Arabidopsis thaliana: one gene and its partner. The protein of the gene in region 1 binds, or shares a complex with, the protein of each later gene. Each region holds a gene or a part of one and is shown in the gene's direction. Other genes may lie near its edges. The genes, in order: ndhJ and NdhO.

Evidence for each region.
Region 2: the proteins of ndhJ (region 1) and NdhO are in contact, whole or in part, in a cryo-EM structure (PDB 7WFG), measured with the Arabidopsis thaliana proteins. Residues at the interface, in NP_051062.1 of Arabidopsis thaliana: Ala60 (codon at 2,249), Pro61 (codon at 2,252), Ile138 (codon at 2,483), Gly139 (codon at 2,486), Arg143 (codon at 2,498), Lys144 (codon at 2,501), Asp145 (codon at 2,504), Tyr146 (codon at 2,507), Ile147 (codon at 2,510), Ala148 (codon at 2,513), Pro149 (codon at 2,516), Asn150 (codon at 2,519), Ile154 (codon at 2,531), Gln155 (codon at 2,534); in NP_565093.1 of Arabidopsis thaliana: Ser91 (codon at 2,010), Ile92 (codon at 2,013), Leu95 (codon at 2,112), Asp107 (codon at 2,148), Tyr108 (codon at 2,151), Ile109 (codon at 2,154), Tyr127 (codon at 2,283), Val130 (codon at 2,369), Ile135 (codon at 2,384), Pro136 (codon at 2,387), Thr137 (codon at 2,390), Pro139 (codon at 2,396), Ala140 (codon at 2,399), Trp141 (codon at 2,402), Leu142 (codon at 2,405).

What each region holds. Positions count from the first base shown.
Region 1 is NC_000932.1:48,098-51,224, reverse strand, and holds ndhJ (NADH dehydrogenase subunit J), read left to right. Parts: upstream 1-2,071; coding exon 2,072-2,548; downstream 2,549-3,127. Other genes in the region: ndhC (NADH dehydrogenase subunit 3), read left to right, coding at 862-1,224; ndhK (NADH dehydrogenase subunit K), read left to right, coding at 1,291-1,968. UniProt on the Arabidopsis thaliana protein: NDH shuttles electrons from NAD(P)H:plastoquinone, via FMN and iron-sulfur (Fe-S) centers, to quinones in the photosynthetic chain and possibly in a chloroplast respiratory chain.
Region 2 is NC_003070.9:28,128,996-28,132,665, reverse strand, and holds NdhO (NAD(P)H:plastoquinone dehydrogenase complex subunit O), read left to right. Parts: upstream 1-1,588; 5' UTR 1,589-1,645; coding exon 1,646-1,868; intron 1,869-1,962; coding exon 1,963-2,018; intron 2,019-2,108; coding exon 2,109-2,174; intron 2,175-2,249; coding exon 2,250-2,291; intron 2,292-2,368; coding exon 2,369-2,428; intron 2,429-2,524; coding exon 2,525-2,554; 3' UTR 2,555-2,838; downstream 2,839-3,670. Other genes in the region: ARR15 (response regulator 15), read left to right, coding at 1-85, 184-260, 469-546, 639-709, 812-1,076; AT1G74875 (F-box protein), read left to right, coding at 2,921-3,005, 3,550-3,670. UniProt on the Arabidopsis thaliana protein: NDH shuttles electrons from NAD(P)H:plastoquinone, via FMN and iron-sulfur (Fe-S) centers, to quinones in the photosynthetic chain and possibly in a chloroplast respiratory chain.

The sequences.
Region 1 (3,127 bases):
CTACGGTTCGAGTCCGTATAGCCCTAACTAAGAAATTTATTCTAAAAAATCACATTAAAATCAAAATAATTGGATAAATTTTTTTACTTTTTTTTGTATTCTTTATTTCTAACAGGTTACTTTTAATTGCTCGGTTCATAAAAAAAATTTCCATATCATAAACCATAAGTCCTGGGGATCGTTCAGAATAAAACGGAAAATTTCATTTTATTTCAATGGAGCCAATCACTATCTATCGATATATCGAGATAGATACTTAATTTATAATTTAGAATAAACCTTTTTCTTCATTAATTTTCATAGTTGTAATTTTTTTATATGAATTTTCCTCGTTCACTAGCTACAATCAAAAAGTTCATAATACTTTCTTTTTTTTTTTGTATCCCCACTCAATCTTGGTTACTTTTTTTATCACACGGCCTTGTTTAAAAATAAAAAAAGAAATCTAATTAAATTCAACCAAAATTCAATCTATCTAATACTAAGTAAGATGAGTATGGTAAAGTCTTACTGGATTTTTTGATACGTCATCATTTAAAAAACGAAGAGATTTTTCGAAAAATTTTTTTAAACATAAACAGAAATAAAAAAAATTACTAGTTATTAATCAGATTAATATTATATTATTATATTAGAAACTATTAGTAATAGAAACATGGAACTATTAAGTAATAAGTGTACTGAAAATAAGAAATCAATAAATCTTAAAACGAGACGTCTACCACAACAACCAAACGAAAAAAAATGATTCGATTAACCTGAATTTTTGTTTTGACTCAAGAGTTCTATATCCCTTGCCCAATCCACTCCGATTGGAATTGACTAAGCGGGTATTTTTTCCACATTCATAGGAGTTCGTCTATGTTTCTGCTTTACGAATATGATATTTTCTGGGCATTTTTACTAATATCAAGTGCTATTCCTGTTTTGGCATTTCTAATTTCCGGAGTTTTATCTCCAATTAGGAAGGGGCCGGAGAAACTTTCTAGTTATGAATCAGGTATAGAACCGATCGGGGATGCTTGGTTACAATTTAGAATCCGTTATTATATGTTTGCTCTAGTTTTTGTTGTTTTTGATGTTGAAACTGTTTTTCTGTATCCGTGGGCAATGAGTTTCGATGTACTGGGGGTATCTGCTTTTATAGAAGCTTTCATTTTCGTGCTTATCCTAATTCTTGGTTTAGTTTATGCATGGCGAAAAGGAGCATTGGAATGGTCTTAGTTCGTTTACCGAATACTTGATACAATAATAAAAAAAAAAAAAGTAAAAAAAACCATTGAAACAATTATGAATTCCATTAAGTTTCCCATACTTGATCGAACAACAAAAAATTCCGTTATTTCAACTACGTTAAATGATCTTTCAAATTGGTCAAGACTTTCCAGCCTATGGCCGCTTCTTTATGGTACCAGTTGTTGTTTCATTGAATTTGCCTCATTAATAGGCTCCCGATTTGACTTTGATCGTTATGGGTTAGTACCAAGATCGAGTCCTAGACAGGCGGACCTTATTTTAACAGCAGGTACAGTAACAATGAAAATGGCTCCTTCTTTAGTGCGATTATATGAACAAATGCCTGAACCGAAGTATGTTATTGCTATGGGAGCCTGTACAATTACAGGGGGGATGTTCAGTACCGATTCTTATAGTACTGTTCGAGGAGTTGATAAGCTAATTCCTGTAGATGTCTATTTGCCGGGTTGTCCACCTAAACCAGAGGCTGTTATAGACGCTATAACAAAGCTTCGTAAGAAAATAGCTAGAGAAATCTATAAGGATCGAATTAGACCTCAACAGGGTAATCGGTGTTTTACTACCAATCACAAGTTTTTTGTTGTACGCAGTCCGCATATTGGAAATTATGATCAAGAACTACTCTATCCACCATCATCTACTTCAGAGATCTCTACTGAAACATTTTTTAAATACAAAAGTCCAGTATCGTCCCACGAATTAGTGAATTAGGGAGGCTTTTAGAGAATCAGAAAAAAATCTTCATAAATTAGAATTAACGGTAAATGTGAAATACTTAATTTTATATAAAAAAGGTGTGGGGGAAATAAAAAAGATGCAGGGCACTTTGTCCGTTTGGCTAGCCAAACGCGGGCTGGTTCATAGATCGTTGGGCTTCGATTATCAAGGAATAGAGACTTTACAAATAAAGCCCGAAGATTGGCATTCTATTGCTGTAATTTTATATGTATATGGTTACAATTATTTACGTTCGCAATGTGCCTATGATGTGGCACCAGGTGGCCTCTTAGCCAGCGTGTATCATCTTACGAGAATAGAATATGGTGTTAATCAAGCGGAAGAAGTCTGCATAAAAGTATTTACTCACAGGAGTAATCCTAGAATTCCATCCGTTTTCTGGGTTTGGAAAAGTACGGATTTTCAAGAACGGGAATCTTATGATATGTTAGGAATCACTTATGATAGCCATCCACGACTGAAACGGATCCTAATGCCCGAGAGTTGGATAGGGTGGCCTTTACGTAAGGATTATATTGCCCCCAATTTTTATGAAATACAAGATGCTTATTGAATGATAAAAAATGAGCCAATAGGATGAACTAAAAAAAAAGAGTTCTGCATTATGAACTTTGTATCGCGCACATAACTTAGTCAACTTTAGTCACATAACTGGGAATGAATAAATAAGATCGGAAAGCAATAAATGAAGGGGGGGATACAATTCTATTTCTATTGTATCTAATGAACCTTGGGGTATTTTTGCCCTTCAACTATAGTATACTATACATATAGACCTTTTTTTACTTGTTTGATTCAACGGAACTCATTTAACCTTTCCTTTCGGATATGTATTATGTATCAAGTATTATACATTCTTTTTGAACGGCTGGATTCACAACATGAACAAAAAAAAGAGAGGGGATAAAGCATAATTGCACTTTTTTTACTAAAGATACGTTTAATTTGAAGAATAAAAACTTATCAAAATTAATAAATCCTCTGCCAAGAACCAGATTTGAACTGGTGACACGAGGATTTTCAGTCCTCTGCTCTACCAACTGAGCTATCCCGGCGAAGGATCATCCTCGTTTTACGAATGGTGGCACAACGATTTCAAGTCCCCCGGAAAAAAGCTATGTCCACCATTAGT
Region 2 (3,670 bases), on another chromosome or scaffold:
CCGGAGTTACATGTTCTTGCCGTTGATGATAGTTTCGTGGATCGTAAAGTTATTGAGAGATTGCTTAAGATCTCTGCTTGTAAAGGTAAAAGGCAAAACTGTTTCTCTTTACGTTTTCTGCTTTTCTTTTGTTTGGTTTCTGATTCGTTTTTTTGGATAAATTTGGTGGGTTTCTTTATATAGTGACGACTGTTGAGAGTGGGACTAGGGCTCTGCAGTATCTTGGTTTAGATGGAGACAATGGATCTTCTGGTCTTAAGGTATATATTCATTCATTTCTTAGAATCTCTCTGTTTTCTAGCAAAATCAACCCTAGACGTTGAAACTTGAAGTGTTCTTATGCTGGTTTGGCTCCCAAGAAATCTAAGGTTTCACAATGTGGATCAAAAGTTTAACCTTTAGAGGATGATTTTATTATTTGTTTATTGATGCCGTTTATATGAACAATTTTGCAAATTTTGATAACAGGATTTGAAAGTGAACTTGATAGTGACGGATTATTCAATGCCGGGACTAACAGGATATGAACTCCTCAAGAAGATCAAAGTAAATTTCTATTTTGTGTCATTTATTAGAGCAAGATTTGAATAAGCTCTTCTCGTGTTTTCCTTACAAAAATTCTGTTGTATATTTGCCAGGAGTCTTCAGCACTCAGAGAAATCCCAGTAGTGATAATGTCTTCTGAGAACATACAACCTCGTATAGAACAGTAAGTCACTATAGCTAAAGATACAAAACTGAATCAATGGATCTTAACACTGTAATCTGATTTTTTTGTCTATCCTCTCTTTTGTTGTTGTTGTTGTTGTAGATGTATGATAGAAGGAGCAGAGGAGTTTTTGCTAAAACCGGTGAAATTAGCTGATGTGAAGCGTTTAAAAGAACTTATAATGAGAGGTGGTGAAGCTGAAGAAGGAAAAACCAAAAAACTTAGTCCTAAGAGAATCCTACAAAACGACATTGATTCATCTCCATCATCATCATCAACATCTTCATCATCGTCGTCTCATGATGTTTCCTCCCTTGATGACGACACTCCATCTTCCAAGAGGATCAAATTAGAGTCTAGGGGTTAAATGATTGAGCTCAATCTTTTCTCACGTTTTCTCTTGATTTCCTTGTGTAATATACATTATTTTTGATATATGCAACTATGTAAGTCTAGATTCTAATGCTCACCTTATTACTCTGTTTTTTTTTTTTGTTAAAACAAAAGGAGATCAATGTGAATATGATTTAAACAATTTTATAAAATTAAATACTTTGCCTACAGTATATATATTGTTTCCTACTTCACAACCAGATCAATTAGATTCTATAATGTAACATATAATTTAAAAGTACACGTAAAAAGATTTTGTATATGATCTTCCATGTGACATACACGATTTCACTTGTATGTGTTTATAATTCATAAACTTTCAAGCATCAGAAAACAAAAAAAAACGAATATAATCTTTGTTGGAATACATTATCTATTACTATATTCCTAGTTGTATAGCAGAGGAAACTTGTTTGCACTTACGTGGCATCTTATGATTGGTTCAGTGATGTCTGTTTTAGACCGTTGAGAGACTTGGATACCATTGCGGTCTTATCCCGAAACTCCAAGAACACATAATTTTTTTTCTTGGTGGTCTCTCCAATGGCTTTCTCTGCGACTGTGTCTCAGCTTTCTTCTCTTTCAACCATCTCCTCTTCATTACCAATTTCTTCTAGAAGACTCCCTCATCGATCTCTTCCTCAATTCACAGTCAAAGCAGAAGCAGAGAAAGAGAAACAGAGCACACAGGGCAAGTCTGATGGGGAAGCATCACCAGCTGCAACCAAAACCCCTAAAACCCTCCCCAAGAAACCGGTTTACTCGAGTCTGTTCCCTCACTTTTGTTTCTAAGTGTTGAATCCAATAACAGATTTTTGATAATTCTTTTGAATTTCTGTTTCTGGTGGATGAGAAAACAGTGAAGAAGGGCCAAATCGTTCGTGTGGAAAAAGAGAAGTACCTCAACAGCATCAATGTATAGTCGAAATCTTTCCCAGTTTTGAAGCTGCTTCTTCAAAAATCTGTTTCTGAAACTTTTGTTTTGCTACATTTGTTGAAATTACAGTACTTATCAGTTGGACATCCTCCTTTCTACAAAGGACTTGATTACATATACGAAGATCGCGGCGAGGTATAACACAATCCCTTTTGAAAATAAATCACAAGAGATTTCAAGCTTATTGAACAAGTAATCTAAATCTTGCAGGTCTTGGACCTTCGTGTCTTTGAGACAGGAGAGTATGCACTTGTAAGTCAGTCTCCACACAAATTGTTTATTCTGTTTCATAAGATGAGCTAATGGATTGTGAATTTTGGAGACTTTAGGTTGGATGGGTTGGTATCCCCACCGCACCAGCTTGGCTCCCAACAGATATGCTCATCAAGGTACTCATAATTTTCTCAGTACATCAACAATACGTAGCATTGTCTTGATGTCAAGTCATGATTGTTTCTGTGTTCTTGGTTTTTGTTCCACCGCAGTGTGAGAAACTTGTTTACGAGCGAATGTAGAGTCAAGAAGGTTCCAAGAAGAATCCTTTGGAATGCAACTGATATACCAAGGATTGTGTTAAGCTGAGATGAACGATAACAATGGCGCACCATCATGATCATGTGTTCAAGAGTTTGACAAAGTATCAACGTTACAATTAGTTACAAAAACTGTTGTGGAGTGTGGAATATGTCATCAGACTCCTATAATAAGAATGCAGCTTCAGTAAACGGATGATGGTAATTTTATCTCATCGATCTCCCAACATAAACTCATTTCTCACAGCTTCATAAAATTTCCTCTGGTTTTGTCTTTGGCTTCCACTTTCCGAAAACCGGAAACTTCTTCATCATCACAAATATAACTACTGACCTAATGGACGGATGATGGTAAATTTAGGTGCTCTAAACGACGAAGACAAGCGGAAGTGTGCCAACATGTTTCAAATTCACCTCGTAATCAATGTATTATGTATGTGACTAGGAGAGTAACAAGACACAAAGCCAATCTCATCTCTCACAACTTCATTAAACAATCCTTTCCTCTGCTTTGTCTTTGACTTCCATTTTCTGATAAATTCTTCATCATCACAAAAATACTATTGACGTGATGGTGATGTTAGTGGGTTTCCTATGATTTCTCCTTTTGGGTTTTCCCATTGGTGAACGGTGAATGAGAGAATCTAGGGTTTGGATTTGTTCTCCATACAAGGATTTAATCCCATTATTATGTATTTTTCCTTTTTTTTTTTAAAGCTTTTTTAGATTTTATTTATTTTTAATCTTTTGGCTTATTCTAAACTTTTGTATTACTTCCTTTTCCTATTAGGAATAGGAAATCTAAACATTGTTATAAAAACCCGAGTCAACAAATCAAGAGAGAAAACAATACTCACAATCTTAAACAAACCATAGTACTTTTTCTTCTTTCAAGAATTCCCACAGAATGACAGTTTCTGTTTCTCTAGATTCTCTACCTGAAGACCTTCTTGTAGAGATCTCTTAATGTGTTGCAGCTTCATCATTATCCGAGTTTCGCAATCTTCAATTAGTTTCGAAATCGTTTAAACGTATCAGCAACGATCGATACATTCTGCAGCGGCTTTCCCTCAATAAAATCCCTCTTTTACCATGGCG